2 linked regions of the Oryzias latipes genome follow. The protein of the gene in region 2 purifies or fractionates together with the protein of the main gene of each other region. This does not show direct contact. Links are inferred from orthologs where the notes say so. Each region holds a gene or a part of one and is shown on either strand. Other genes may lie near its edges.

Region 1 (5,909 bases), on a different chromosome or scaffold from region 2:
GTATCACTGACTGGATGAAGATGTTTGAGTTTTGAAGAAGAGGGAAAGCAGAAGAATGTGTTGCCCAAACTGTGGTTGAGAGTAGAATGAGCAGTCAACCCTTTGCAGTAACTGAGGCCAGAAGTTTAATCAAATATCTTCTGTCTACAATGCCAAATAACTTTTCGTTGAAAAGGTGATCAAACGTCATCATTCAATCAGTTAGGACCCACAATACCGACCTTTCCTGGTTTCTCCTTTTGTTTCTGGACATTAATTTTAATTTCTGAAACGTTTCATTTTTATTTTGTTTCCTTTTTCTGGTATTGTGTTTTGGTTTTGGCTTCTGGAATATTGCTTCAATTACTAAAATGTAATCTTATTCATTTATGTTTTTTAATAGTTTTGTCTTTTTTAATTGTCATTGTGATCTTTCACAAGTTTTTTTGCTAAATGTGTTAATGTGATTTTAGGGCCACAATAAAAGTCAAAGAGAAAATAAATACTAAAACAAAAGGCCGTAAATAAAAACAGGCATTTTAGGCTGTTCACTGTGGGAAACAAATAAATAAAAACTAACCTCGGGGTAGCTCTCTGAGTCCATAGCATATTCATCTTCATTCTCTCCCTTGAGCTCCGACTCTGCTTTAATGTCCAGCTGTGTGAAAACAGAGTAGGTTCAAAGTGGAGCTCATACGTATGTCTTAAAATCGTCTCCAGTTCAAAATACCTTTGGAGGGTAGACCAGGTTGAGGGAATGGTAGAGCCTGAAGTTCACAAACCCCAGCAGGGTTGTGTACAACTCTGTGAAAGTTGCCATGACTCTGTAGTCAACATCTGTTGGGTGCTAAAACAGCAAAAATATTATTTTAGAAAAATAAAAGGTCTACTCACCAAATAACTGTGTCAAAGTGAAACATTTCAACATATAATTTGAGTAATAATTCAAAAAAATAGTTTAAAATTACACTTTATAAAAATGATCAAAAATCACATGAACGTTTATGTAGCTTTCCTCCCTCTTTTAGCTGTTAAATTGTCTATTTGTAAAGAAGAATTATTTCTTCTGAGGACATCAGTATTTGGAAAACAATGAAAAGGCACTGAAGCAAGTCAACATAAAGGAGTCTCGGCGTCTGCACCTCAACTGGAAATTAATCACCTTTAATTAAAATGTTTTGGTTCCTAAATGACTTAGATGGTATTTAAAAGTAAATATAAAAAGATGATGTCAGACTTTGGAAACTATGTAAACAGCTTTACTAATTAACTGGGGACTTTCTGTGTTTAGTTAGAACATTGTTGATTTTGCTGTCACTGCTTATTGGTATATTCCTTATGAACCTCATTTCATCAATTTGACTTACATCATGGGAGAACTGATAGGGCACCAGCCATGTGATGAGCTGTCCCATCACCTCAGCCTGATAGTACATTCCCTTGATGGAGACGAAAACCTAACGGGAACAGAGTGGGTTGTATGTCAGAAAACACAGAACTGTAATTTTTTTCTGTGAAAGAGTTCAGTAAAGCTGCACCTTTCTGAGAGAGCGTGATGCAATCACATAGTTCATCCACTCCACAGTGAGGCGTCTGCAGAGCTGGATTGTTTGGACGTGACATTTTCCCGTTCTGGCAAATGTGGAGAAGAGGAAGCACATGCAAAGGGCGTCGTCGATATCACGGAGGGCATCGATGAAGGAGGGGTATCTACAACAGAAAGCAATTGACTTAGAGGTAGGTTTATCTGTCTTACATTTAAAAACTAGAAAAACACAGAACAATGGGTTCATTTAACAGAAAAATCTACTTATGCCCCACTTTTTAAGTCAGTCTCACCTCTCTTTAATGATGTGGTCCAATTTATAGGTTGGCTTGTTTTCTTTCAGTCTTTCAACTGCAGACCACTCCGTTTTTCCATAAGCCTTTCTCAGTTTCCGTACAAATATCTATTAAAACAAAGAACAAATTTTTAGGCTAACTTACACTTCGACTGTATAGTATCCAAAAAGATTATTACCAAAATAAATAAAGTTGTTTGATAATATATTAAAACCTTATATTGTTTACATTTTCCAGTCCTTAAATCCAAATCCATGTGTGAGCATGCACATTAAGTATGCACACTTAAGTCTATACTGCAGAGAAGGAATGGATCTCTTAAATCCTCACTTTTCATTGCAGGTAATGCAAAAAATGCAAAAACAAAAAGTTTTTTACATATTAAAGATCAACTACAAGTTATGCATTTCAAACTTAGTCACTTTTTGGTGATCATTTCTATTTTAACAAATTTTCTGCAATGTATTTTTGTATCAACAAGCTCTTTAATTCACACTTTGAAGAGAAAGGGAATCGACACTGTGCTCTCTCTATGCATGTAAGTAATAAAAAAATAATAAAAAACATTTACACATTTTGAAATACCTTGTATTCTCTGAACTTGGCAACTATGGGCTCATGCAGCAGAAAACGAATATCTTTAAGCAGATAAAAGGTCCTGGGGGCAGTGGAGCCCTTGTTGACCTTCTTCTTGTGCTTCGGCTCATGAGGATAGATGCCTTTAAGAATGCAGAGTCGTCTAAAACAAAAAGTAAAGCAAGTCATCAGAGATACAAAAAAATGACATGAGTGTGTATCGCAGTCTGACTAAATCTGATGGAAAATCATGTTGGCCACACACAATACGAGACGCACATTGCTGCACTGCCCGCACATATTTTAATTGCATTAAAGGCTAAAGGTTGTTGTTGGTCGCATGTTTTTTGTATAGCCCAATAATACAATAATAGTTGTCTTATTGGGCTAACATTAAATCAGTCATTAAATACAGTAGGTCATTGCTAAACTTAACTAAACAGACTAAGCTAAACTGGGCACCCCTGCCCTTAGACCCTACTTCTCGGTAAGCAAAACGTTATTAAAAATAGATAAATAAATAACAGATTCCGGGGGAAACAGTCTCCGCTGTGTCCACATGATGAAGAAGGGATCCTCTCCCAGGACAGACAGGTGATGTACCAGGACTGTTAAGGTAGAATTAACTTATCCAACTCTACAACTACATGTTTGAATAATGTAGCAAGTAATGTCAAGTATTTATATTTACTGAATGTCAAACTGTTAAATGTTTAAGGACAGTAAATAAATGTTTGCCAACATTTATGATTTGCAACGTTTTCATGTTCTTTTTTTTTTACACTGTAGTGTATACTTTAAGAAACTGCTCCAAATAGGTTAACCTTTATTATAACTATGCTTAACCACAAAGTTATGTGCAGACACAAAGGGGCTGGTACATTAATAACAATCTCTGAAAATTAAACCATAAAATCACACACTCCAGTTCAGTTGCAGTTCAAAAATAATTTAACAAATACCTCGTGTTAAAAAAAACATCCAAATCAGTGGTAAAAAAAAAAAAAAAAAAAAAGGTATTATTTACAAAAAAAAGAAAAAGAAAAAAACTTGAGCTGTGTGGTACCTGAAGTCTGGTAGGCTCAACTGTAGCTTCTTCCGAGCTCTATTTCGTGTAATGTAGTTGGTGGCAGAGCCCCTCTCAAACTGCAAAGAAAACGGTTTTAAAAATTTCCAGTAACAATTTCCGTAAACTGCATTAAATGTAATTTTGACTGTTCACATTCACGTGTAAACGTTTGCCCAACATAATGAACCACTTAGAACAAACTTAAGCTAGTTTAGCTAGCTACGTACGTAGCATGGAAACTGTTACTGAGTTCAAACAAAACGCCAGCATTTACCTTTTTCTTTTGAGTGCCGCCCATACTTAAGAAATTAGTTTATCTGAAATAAAGCCAAACAAACCGTTTTTAACTAAATATGTTGTCAGGTAGTTAAAATCTGAACACGACCACCATGTTTTGCTGTAAATGCACGTGTTGTTTGACATGCGCAAGAGAATCAGATTGGGTTTAGCGGACACGAGGACCCACAGTCGACCGCTCATCTGCCTGCTCGCAATAGTCTTATTAAGCTGCGGTAGATGAGCGAGCTACTAAAAAAAGCAATAACAAAAAAATAACATTAATAACAATGTTTGAATGCACTGTTTAGTTAAATGGTGGACTGCTGCATAAAACAATATTATCCTACAGGTTGTTATATATATCTATATCTATATATATATATAGATATAGATATAGATACAGACAGACAGACAGACAGACAGACAGACAGACAGACAGACAGACAGACATGTTGGCCCTTTTTCTTTCTTGATCCCCAACATTGTCACAAGCAAAGCATCCCACACCATCACACCTCCTCCTCCATGCTTTACAGTGGGAGCAGGCATGTAGAACCAAAAATCTCAAATTTGGACTCATCAGACCAAAGCACACATTTCCACTGGTCTAATGTCCGTTCCTTGTGTTCTTAAGCCTAAACAAGTTTCTTCTGCTTGTTGCCTTTCTTTAGCAGTGGTTTCCTAGCAGATATTCTACCATGAAGACCTGATTCACAAAGTCTCCTCTTAACAGTTGTTGTAGAGATGTGTCTGCTGCTAGAACTCTGTGTGCCATTGACCTGCTCTCTAATCTGAGCTGCTGTTAACCTGCCATTTCTGAGGCTGGTGACTCGGATGAACTCATCCTCTACAGCAGAGGTGACTCATGGTCTTCCTTTCCTGGGGCGCTCCACATGTAAGCCAGTTTCTTTGTAGCACTTGATGGTTTTTCTGACTGCACTTGGGGACACTTTCAAAGTTTTCCCAATTTTTCGGACTGACTGACCTTCATTTCTTAAAGTAATGATGGCCACTCATTTTTCTGTACTTAGCTGCTTTTTTCTAGCACTAAAACAAATTCAGTCTATTCAGTGGGACGAACAGCTGTGTATCCACCTGACTTCTGCACAACACAACTGATGGTCCCAACCCCATTTATAAGGCAAGAAATCACACTTTTTAAACCTGACAGGGCACACCTGTGAAGTGAAAAACATTTCAGGTAAACTACCTTTTGACGCTCATCAAGAGAATACCAAGAGTGTGCAAAGTAGTTATCAAATCAAAAGGTGGCTACTATGAAGAACCTAGAATATGACATATTTTCAGTTGTTTTACACTTTCTTGTTATGTATATAATTCCACATATGTTAATTCACAGTTTTGATGCCTTCAGTGTGAATCTACAATTTTCATAGTCATGAAAATAAAGAAAACTCTTTGAATGAGAAAGTGTGTCCAAACATTTGGTCTGTACTGTAAATCTAAGCCCCACCCCTTGTCTATTGGACCCCTCACATATGTCAGGGATGCTTCAGCAAAATGCAGACAAGAGCAGAGCAGCCTCAGACAGGGAGAAGAAGAAATGTTGTAACAAGATAAAGTTCTGTTGATAAAAAGACTCAAGCACTGATTTGGATATGAGTACAGCATTTCATAAAGTCATCATGGGGCTATATGACTTTTTAAAGGAGTGCTTCAGTGGTTTTTGGGACTACGAAACCCCCAAAGTGATGGTCGTGAAAAACAGAACTCTTGGAGTCATTTACAGGGCGGTCCAGTTTCTTGTGATTACCTATTTTATCTGGTAAGTGAGCAGCATGTTTGTATATTTGCTTAAAAAAAAAGAAATTTGTACACAATGCTGTTTTTTTTATATATGTAAACTGACTGTTGTGATTTGTGTTGGATTAAACTAGAAAAATTAATCTTTTATGTATAAGTCATCAAGTGCAAAATAGCTTTTTATTTCAACAAAATAGGAAGATAACTAGAGCGGAGTCTGAGTGCGTCATTTTCTTTTCTTGGCTACTGCATGTGGGCTGAGTAGATCAAATGTAACATGATGCCTCCAATTACATTTTCCCATCAGTGGAGAAGATGTGACTTTTGTGTTTGTTTGTCCGATCATCCACAAAGGTATGTTTTTATAAGTCAGAAGGCATACCAAGACAGCGAAACCCAT
Region 2 (6,012 bases):
CTACATATATGATGCACTTCGTCTTTGGTTTGAGTACCTCAGGTTCTCCAGTCTCTGATTTTGGCTAAGTTCTCCATGCAATTCTCCGACTTTCAGGCCCATCAAGCCCAACAGGATGTGCAGTCTGTGCGCCTGTTTCCTCGTCTGCGTGAACAACATCACGTGGTCCTGGAAGGTCCGAGTCAGGAGAGCTGAAGTGCAAAAAAGTAACGGTCTGAGGAGAACCACACCACCGACAGTGTTGCCAAGCAGCCCGCGGAACTGGATCCTACCGGCCACGACGGCCTCTCTGTCTCCTTCTCTGTGTGGTCGGATCCGGATAAACTCCTGCCGCAGGAACGGCGCCACGTCTGTGTTGCTGTTTACAAAAATTCTGACTGGCTGCTTCAGCGACACGGCAGCAAGATCTTTCACCTGTGCGGACAAGATGCGGGATGGTAAACGAGTCAAAGAGCGTGTAGCAAGATGGCAGGCAAGTAACAGTTGGACATAGATTATACAAGACAAGAAAGCATACAAGTCACATGGAAAGTCACAGCTAGGAATCACAGAAAAGGTTCCAGGTTTCTTCAGGGAGTAAGTTTTCCCTAAAGATGCTTCCACTTCAGTAGGAATCTCTGCCACCATCAGCCCTTCACACCTGAAATGTTACCCCACCCATCCCGGCGTACCTCCTCTGTCATGGTGGCAGAGAACAGCATGGTCTGTCTGTTGTAGGAGCACAGGCGGATGATCTCCTTCATCTGTTCTTCAAAGTACTCGTCAAGCATCCTGAGAGGGTTGAGCAGAAACCACAGGTGAGTGTCTCATCATGGGCCACGCCCATAAATCGATTAATAAGTCTTTACCTGTCGGCCTCGTCCAGAATTAGGATCTCAATATGACTCAGTTCAAAGTTTGGCGTGTTGTGAAGGTGGTCAATGAGTCGACCTGGTGTTGCTATTAGGACATCTGGCCCCGCCCTCAATGCTGCTTCTTGAGACTTCAGGTCCAAACCCCCTGGAGACAGGAAATAGATAAGAACCAGGGGCTAGAGACCGGTACAGAAGCAGAACCATCTGTTGGACCAAAGAATGATGGGAATTAATCTCACCGACAGCCAAGCAGGTAGTGATGGAAGTGAACTGGGCCAGTTGCCGGGCAACAGAGTGCACCTGGATCCCCAACTCCCTGGTAGGAACCAAAACCAGGACCCGGGTCACTTGGGAGGTTCTGGGCTTGTAAATCAGACGCTCCAGCACAGGTAGCATGAAGGCCGCCGTCTTTCCTGCAGACAAACGCAGACAGGTTACATCTGCCAGACCCGGCACCGCCAATCTACAGGTCAAACCAGCAGCTCAGGTACCTGTCCCAGTGGCAGCACAGGCACACAAATCTCTGCCCAGCAGGCTGACCGGAACACAGGCCTTCTGGATGGGAGTGGGCTGCTTGAAGCCCAAAGCTGTGATAGCCTGCCAGAACACAAGAACAAGAGCAGGAAGGTGAGCCTGTGGACCTCTGAGCGGACTGACTACACCTGTTTGACCCAGACAAGCTTCACCTTCAGGATGGGTCTGGACAGGTTCATGTCATCAAAGCTCAGCTGATCATCAAACTGAGACGCATCTTCGTGGAACGACTCAGGAGCCTGAAGAAAGAAAAAAAACGCTGGTAAATATGAACCTGAAACCAGAACCAAGACACAAACTCCTCCTCCTCACCTCCTCTGCTGCCTTCCTCTTCTTTCCTCGTCGGCCTTTATCTCTCAGGGTGTCTGGCAGAAAGAGAAAACTTTTACTCAGGGGTTTCCAAGAGCCTCCACAGAACCTCCAAAGTTCTGTTCTTTAAAAGTGTTTTCTGTCTGTTGGCCCAGATGGCCTTTGATGCTGTTGTTATAGTAACCACCTGAGCAGCTCACACGAATGTCTTCCCTTCTAGGTATTATCGTTGGGTTCTACTGCTCAAATGTTCATTTGAATGAAAACACCACGAGATATGAAGGTTTTTTTAGGGTCTCGCCTTTACACCCACCTGATTTGGTCAGAACCTCCTCATCACTGGAGCCAAACTCCTCCTCCTCCTCATCATCATCATCATCATCGTCGTCGTCATCATCATCATTGTCATCATTCTCATCCTCTTCTGCCTTCAGTTTCTCTTCCTCCTCCTTCTCTTCCTTCTCAGAAGCTGAAGGATTTCCCTCTTTGGGACTCTGCTTGTCCTGCAGATTGAGCCAAACTTTTCCTCAGACACATTCACTTTTTAGATGTTTTTCATTTATTTCCAAAGCTCTAAAACATCAGGCTGCTACAAAGGCCGAGGTAACAACTATCAAACAAAAGAGAGTGAAAACAATAAGACTTTTACCCTCCGCCCCAATTTACCTCACCGTTCAAAGACAATAAAAAAACAGCTTAACTTCAAATCAACAAACAAAAAAAGATATAAAAGAATAATAAAATAATTTGTTATAATTTTACAAGTATTTGATGCTCATTTTTAGGTTGTTTCATCTCTTTCAATAGTTTTTCAATCTTCAATTGTCTTTTCTTTCATTTTTATCAATTAAGATTTCAAATTATGGCGAGTGTTTGTCTGAACTCTCAAAGTTATTCTTATTTTGGGAATAATACATCTGCATAAACTCTAGCGCTTCTTCCGTAAGACTTCCTGACAGTTTTTGAACTGGACTCACCTCAGCCTTCCTCTTCTTCCGGATTGTCTCTATTTTCTGGTCCAGCGTCGTCAGGCTTCTCTGCAGAAACAGAGCGGACATCAGTGCAAAAGAACGGAGGACGTTTCGGTTCTCTGCCAAACCAGCTACCTTTTTTTTTAACTGGGACATCACGTCGGCCATGGCCCAGGCTTCATCACGGCTCGGCCGGTCTGTTTCGACAAACTCAAAGTCGCAGTTGAAGTCTCTGCAGCTGCGGGGTCCCTGCTTCTTCTTCCTGTTCAGGACTATTGGCCCCTCCTGCACACAACAGTTCATTCAGCATCTTATTTTCTTTTAAAGCCAATTTATTCGGCTAAAAGGTAAAATAACTACTGATATAAACTTAATAAATAATGGTATTTAATAAAACCACAACAGATACCATAACTGACAGCAAAACATTGGACTGTTCTCAAGTGTTCTCCAGTGAATTCTGATCTAAATTCAACAAAACGTCTGTGCTAAAATGTTTTTCTTAAGATTGTGTTGAGTAGAGCAAATACAAATATTAAAATTGTTCTTTAAAAAAAGACTTTAAAAAGTTAAAAGTATAAATTGAAGGGTGGGCTTATTAAAAGAACCACAACTACAAGATCCATTTTACTTATAGAAAATGTGTGTCAATTTAAAGGAGGACGGTTGTCTCCAACCTGGCAACAACTATTATTCTTGCAGGGTCAGAGTCATTCAACAGAAGATTAGGAAGATGGAGCAGAACCAAAGTCAGAAATAAACCACAAAACCAACTTTGACGAAAGGATCCTTCGTGCAGAAGTATGGACTCACCTCTGGTTCTGACTCGGTATCGGGTTCCTCCGGGCTCTGGTCTTCGTCCCGGAGGGTCCCGATCAGACCCAGTTGCGCCAGCATTTTTTCCAGGTTCTGTTGTCCACGCACTCACGTGTAGACGAAAACCGGAAATGTCAGCGCTAGATTCCGGTTTCTAAGATTTCCATGTTGTTTGGCGCCTCCTGCTGCCGCGGAGGCCTTCACAAAAACAAAGAGAAAAGCTACGGGATCATGTTTTTTTTCTTTCTTTTTTTTATGAATTACAAGTTTTACAATCTTAGAACAATTAATGTACAGCATGGCAAAAAAATATACATACATGGATCATGGATATACATGGATCCAGTGCGGCATCACTGTTGTATCAATGCGTATGAATGATGGTGATGGTCAGAGGGACCGTAGGCGCGAACTGGCAGCCATGCTTCTGTCATCTCCAAGTATGAATGAGGAGTGAATGAATATTGAACACAATGTAAGCGCTTTGAGCGTGTGCAAAACTGCAGATAAATCTAATCCATAATTATTTTTTTAATTTTAACTATTTGTCTGCAAGTGGATGCATCAGAGTAGAGCGGAGTGGGGATTGTCATCTTCCCATTGTAGCACCTACATCACACCTACAAGCTTTTCCTACTACAATTTTTCATCTGCTCCTGATTCATTTGTTGAATAAAAAAATACTCATATGCTTGTTGTTTGTTTCTTTTTGTTCATTTGCCCTTTAGTTTTGATTATATCTCTTTTCAGGTGTTGCTTTGCCACAAACTGTGGGGATGTTTGCTTTAGCACCCACCGTGACTTTGTGTGTAGTTTTTGTAGTTCGCAATCAGCAGAGTCAAGAGGTCAGTGCATACAGTAGGGGACGTTCTGCCCTTGCTTCGTCAGCAGATTCTTCATAAAACAACAAAAAAAAAGTAAAACTTCCCGTCACGTTAAATGTGTCATTAGCCCTTGAAGCCCTCTTGCGGGCCAAGGGGTCTGACATAGATGAAATCCTCACCTTTTGGCAGGTGGACCTTATAGGACACACAGGAAAACAAACAGAAAATGTTCTGACAGTGACAGTGACAGTGACGTCTAAACTGAAGCAATAATGTTTGTGCAGTGATGCAATGCTGCTCCTTATGCAACTGGCTGGCTCCTCCCCTGAAACAGCTGAGAACTTTGTTCCACTGCATCGACAGGAGCGTTTATTCATTCATGAATTTCCTGAGCTGTTAATTCAGCTTTTATGGAAGGAAAAATAACCTGCACACTGAAAATACAGTAGTGGGTTTCTAACTCGTGAACCATGACTTTGAGGACTCGGACATAACCACCACTTCCCTCTGCTGTCTATATTTATAAGCTACAAACTAAACATTTTGAATAAACTTCTGCATAGTTTGTATTACTGAAAAGCTTTCTGTGGTCTGGAAGGGAAGTGATTGGACGGTTTCAGTTATTGGCTTGGACAAACTCTTACGTGTTTATATGATGCCACACACATCATGCACACAATGCAGTTATATAGGAGGGGCTGCTCACTGGTTCTGGTTGGGTCTAAAGTGCGGTCTTGTGAATGAAAATTTACTGCAAAGGTGTCAATAGTCCACATCAAGATTATGATGCATGAAAGGTAGTAAGAGATGTTACAGAGTCACCAGTTTCCATTGGTACCAGGGAAGCTCTTATTTTGTAGATTAGCTCACAGGAAGTGCTGGTTCTGCTAGTAGTGGCTTGACTGGAAGAAAATGAGCTGTGTGTGAGTGTGTGAAAGAGCAGCATGCTGCAGTGTGCGTTCATGACAGCCTGAGGACACACAGGGACAGACCGGATGAGCATGGCGGAGCAGAAAAAGATCTTGTGCGTGGGTCTGGTGTGTCTTGACATCATCAACGTGGTGGACAAATACCCTGAGGAAGACTCTGACAGCAGGTTAGCACACAGGCTAGCAGCCACACACTCAAAACTCTTCCATCAGCTGATCTGCCAGCACATACACACTTTTGTCTCTTTTGATGCTTCTGGTAAACCAATTGTGTTGTGGAAAGCAGCTACATTGTTTTTTAGAAAGCTTTTGTGTTCTACTGATGTGTCCTAAAATTTATTTAATCAGTGTGGATCCGTAGTCATTCATTCATCTTCCAAACCTGTTTTGTCCCTTTTGGGGTCACGGGGCTGCTGGAGCCTATCCTGGCCACTCGTGGGAGAAGGTGGATCCCCGGTTTCTTCTTTTTTTAATGGCTATTAAGTGTCTGTTGAGCTCACATTAAAGAAAATCTGCAACTCATCGTGTCTCAGGGGCAAAGTTTAACCTGCTAACCAGTCATAAACGCCAACTGCTGCCAAAAATCATCATCTGAGCAGTGAAATGTTCAACTGTTGCAACGCAGCTCTGACAAGTTCAGTTCAGTTTGAGTGGGGTTGGGGTTCAGGGTTTGGGCTGGGGTCAAACATGAGTGCTGTGGCTGGAGGACCATCGCAGCCTCACATCAGGACAACTGTGCTGACCTTCAGGGCTAAGTGCTTACATAATGAGGCTG

Evidence for each region. Proteins that work in one complex are often made in the same cells at the same time.
Region 1: the proteins of ddx27 (region 2) and pes1 purify together in Homo sapiens (affinity purification with mass spectrometry; 4 studies listed by BioGRID and IntAct, counting the BioPlex papers as one, with this or other methods). This does not show direct contact. The link is inferred for Oryzias latipes from reciprocal best matches to the Homo sapiens genes DDX27 and PES1.

The regions. Positions count from the first base shown.
Region 1 is NC_019867.2:13,302,210-13,308,118, reverse strand, and holds the start of pes1 (pescadillo homolog), read right to left. Parts: upstream 3,938-5,909; 5' UTR 3,765-3,937; coding exon 3,741-3,764; intron 3,544-3,740; coding exon 3,464-3,543; intron 2,561-3,463; coding exon 2,407-2,560; intron 1,929-2,406; coding exon 1,819-1,928; intron 1,690-1,818; coding exon 1,518-1,689; intron 1,437-1,517; coding exon 1,347-1,436; intron 827-1,346; coding exon 710-826; intron 638-709; coding exon 560-637; intron 1-559. Other genes in the region: p2rx2 (P2X purinoceptor 2), read left to right, coding at 5,365-5,531, 5,864-5,909. UniProt on the Homo sapiens protein: Component of the PeBoW complex, which is required for maturation of 28S and 5.8S ribosomal RNAs and formation of the 60S ribosome.
Region 2 is NC_019863.2:25,260,041-25,266,052, forward strand, and holds the start of ddx27 (probable ATP-dependent RNA helicase DDX27), read right to left. Parts: upstream 3,617-6,012; 5' UTR 3,566-3,616; coding exon 3,482-3,565; intron 2,954-3,481; coding exon 2,804-2,953; intron 2,735-2,803; coding exon 2,675-2,734; intron 2,201-2,674; coding exon 2,011-2,200; intron 1,754-2,010; coding exon 1,701-1,753; intron 1,628-1,700; coding exon 1,541-1,627; intron 1,452-1,540; coding exon 1,346-1,451; intron 1,268-1,345; coding exon 1,094-1,267; intron 1,000-1,093; coding exon 849-999; intron 772-848; coding exon 672-771; intron 415-671; coding exon 273-414; intron 192-272; coding exon 38-191; intron 1-37. Other genes in the region: khk (ketohexokinase), read left to right, coding at 5,304-5,404. UniProt on the Homo sapiens protein: Probable ATP-dependent RNA helicase. Component of the nucleolar ribosomal RNA (rRNA) processing machinery that regulates 3' end formation of ribosomal 47S rRNA.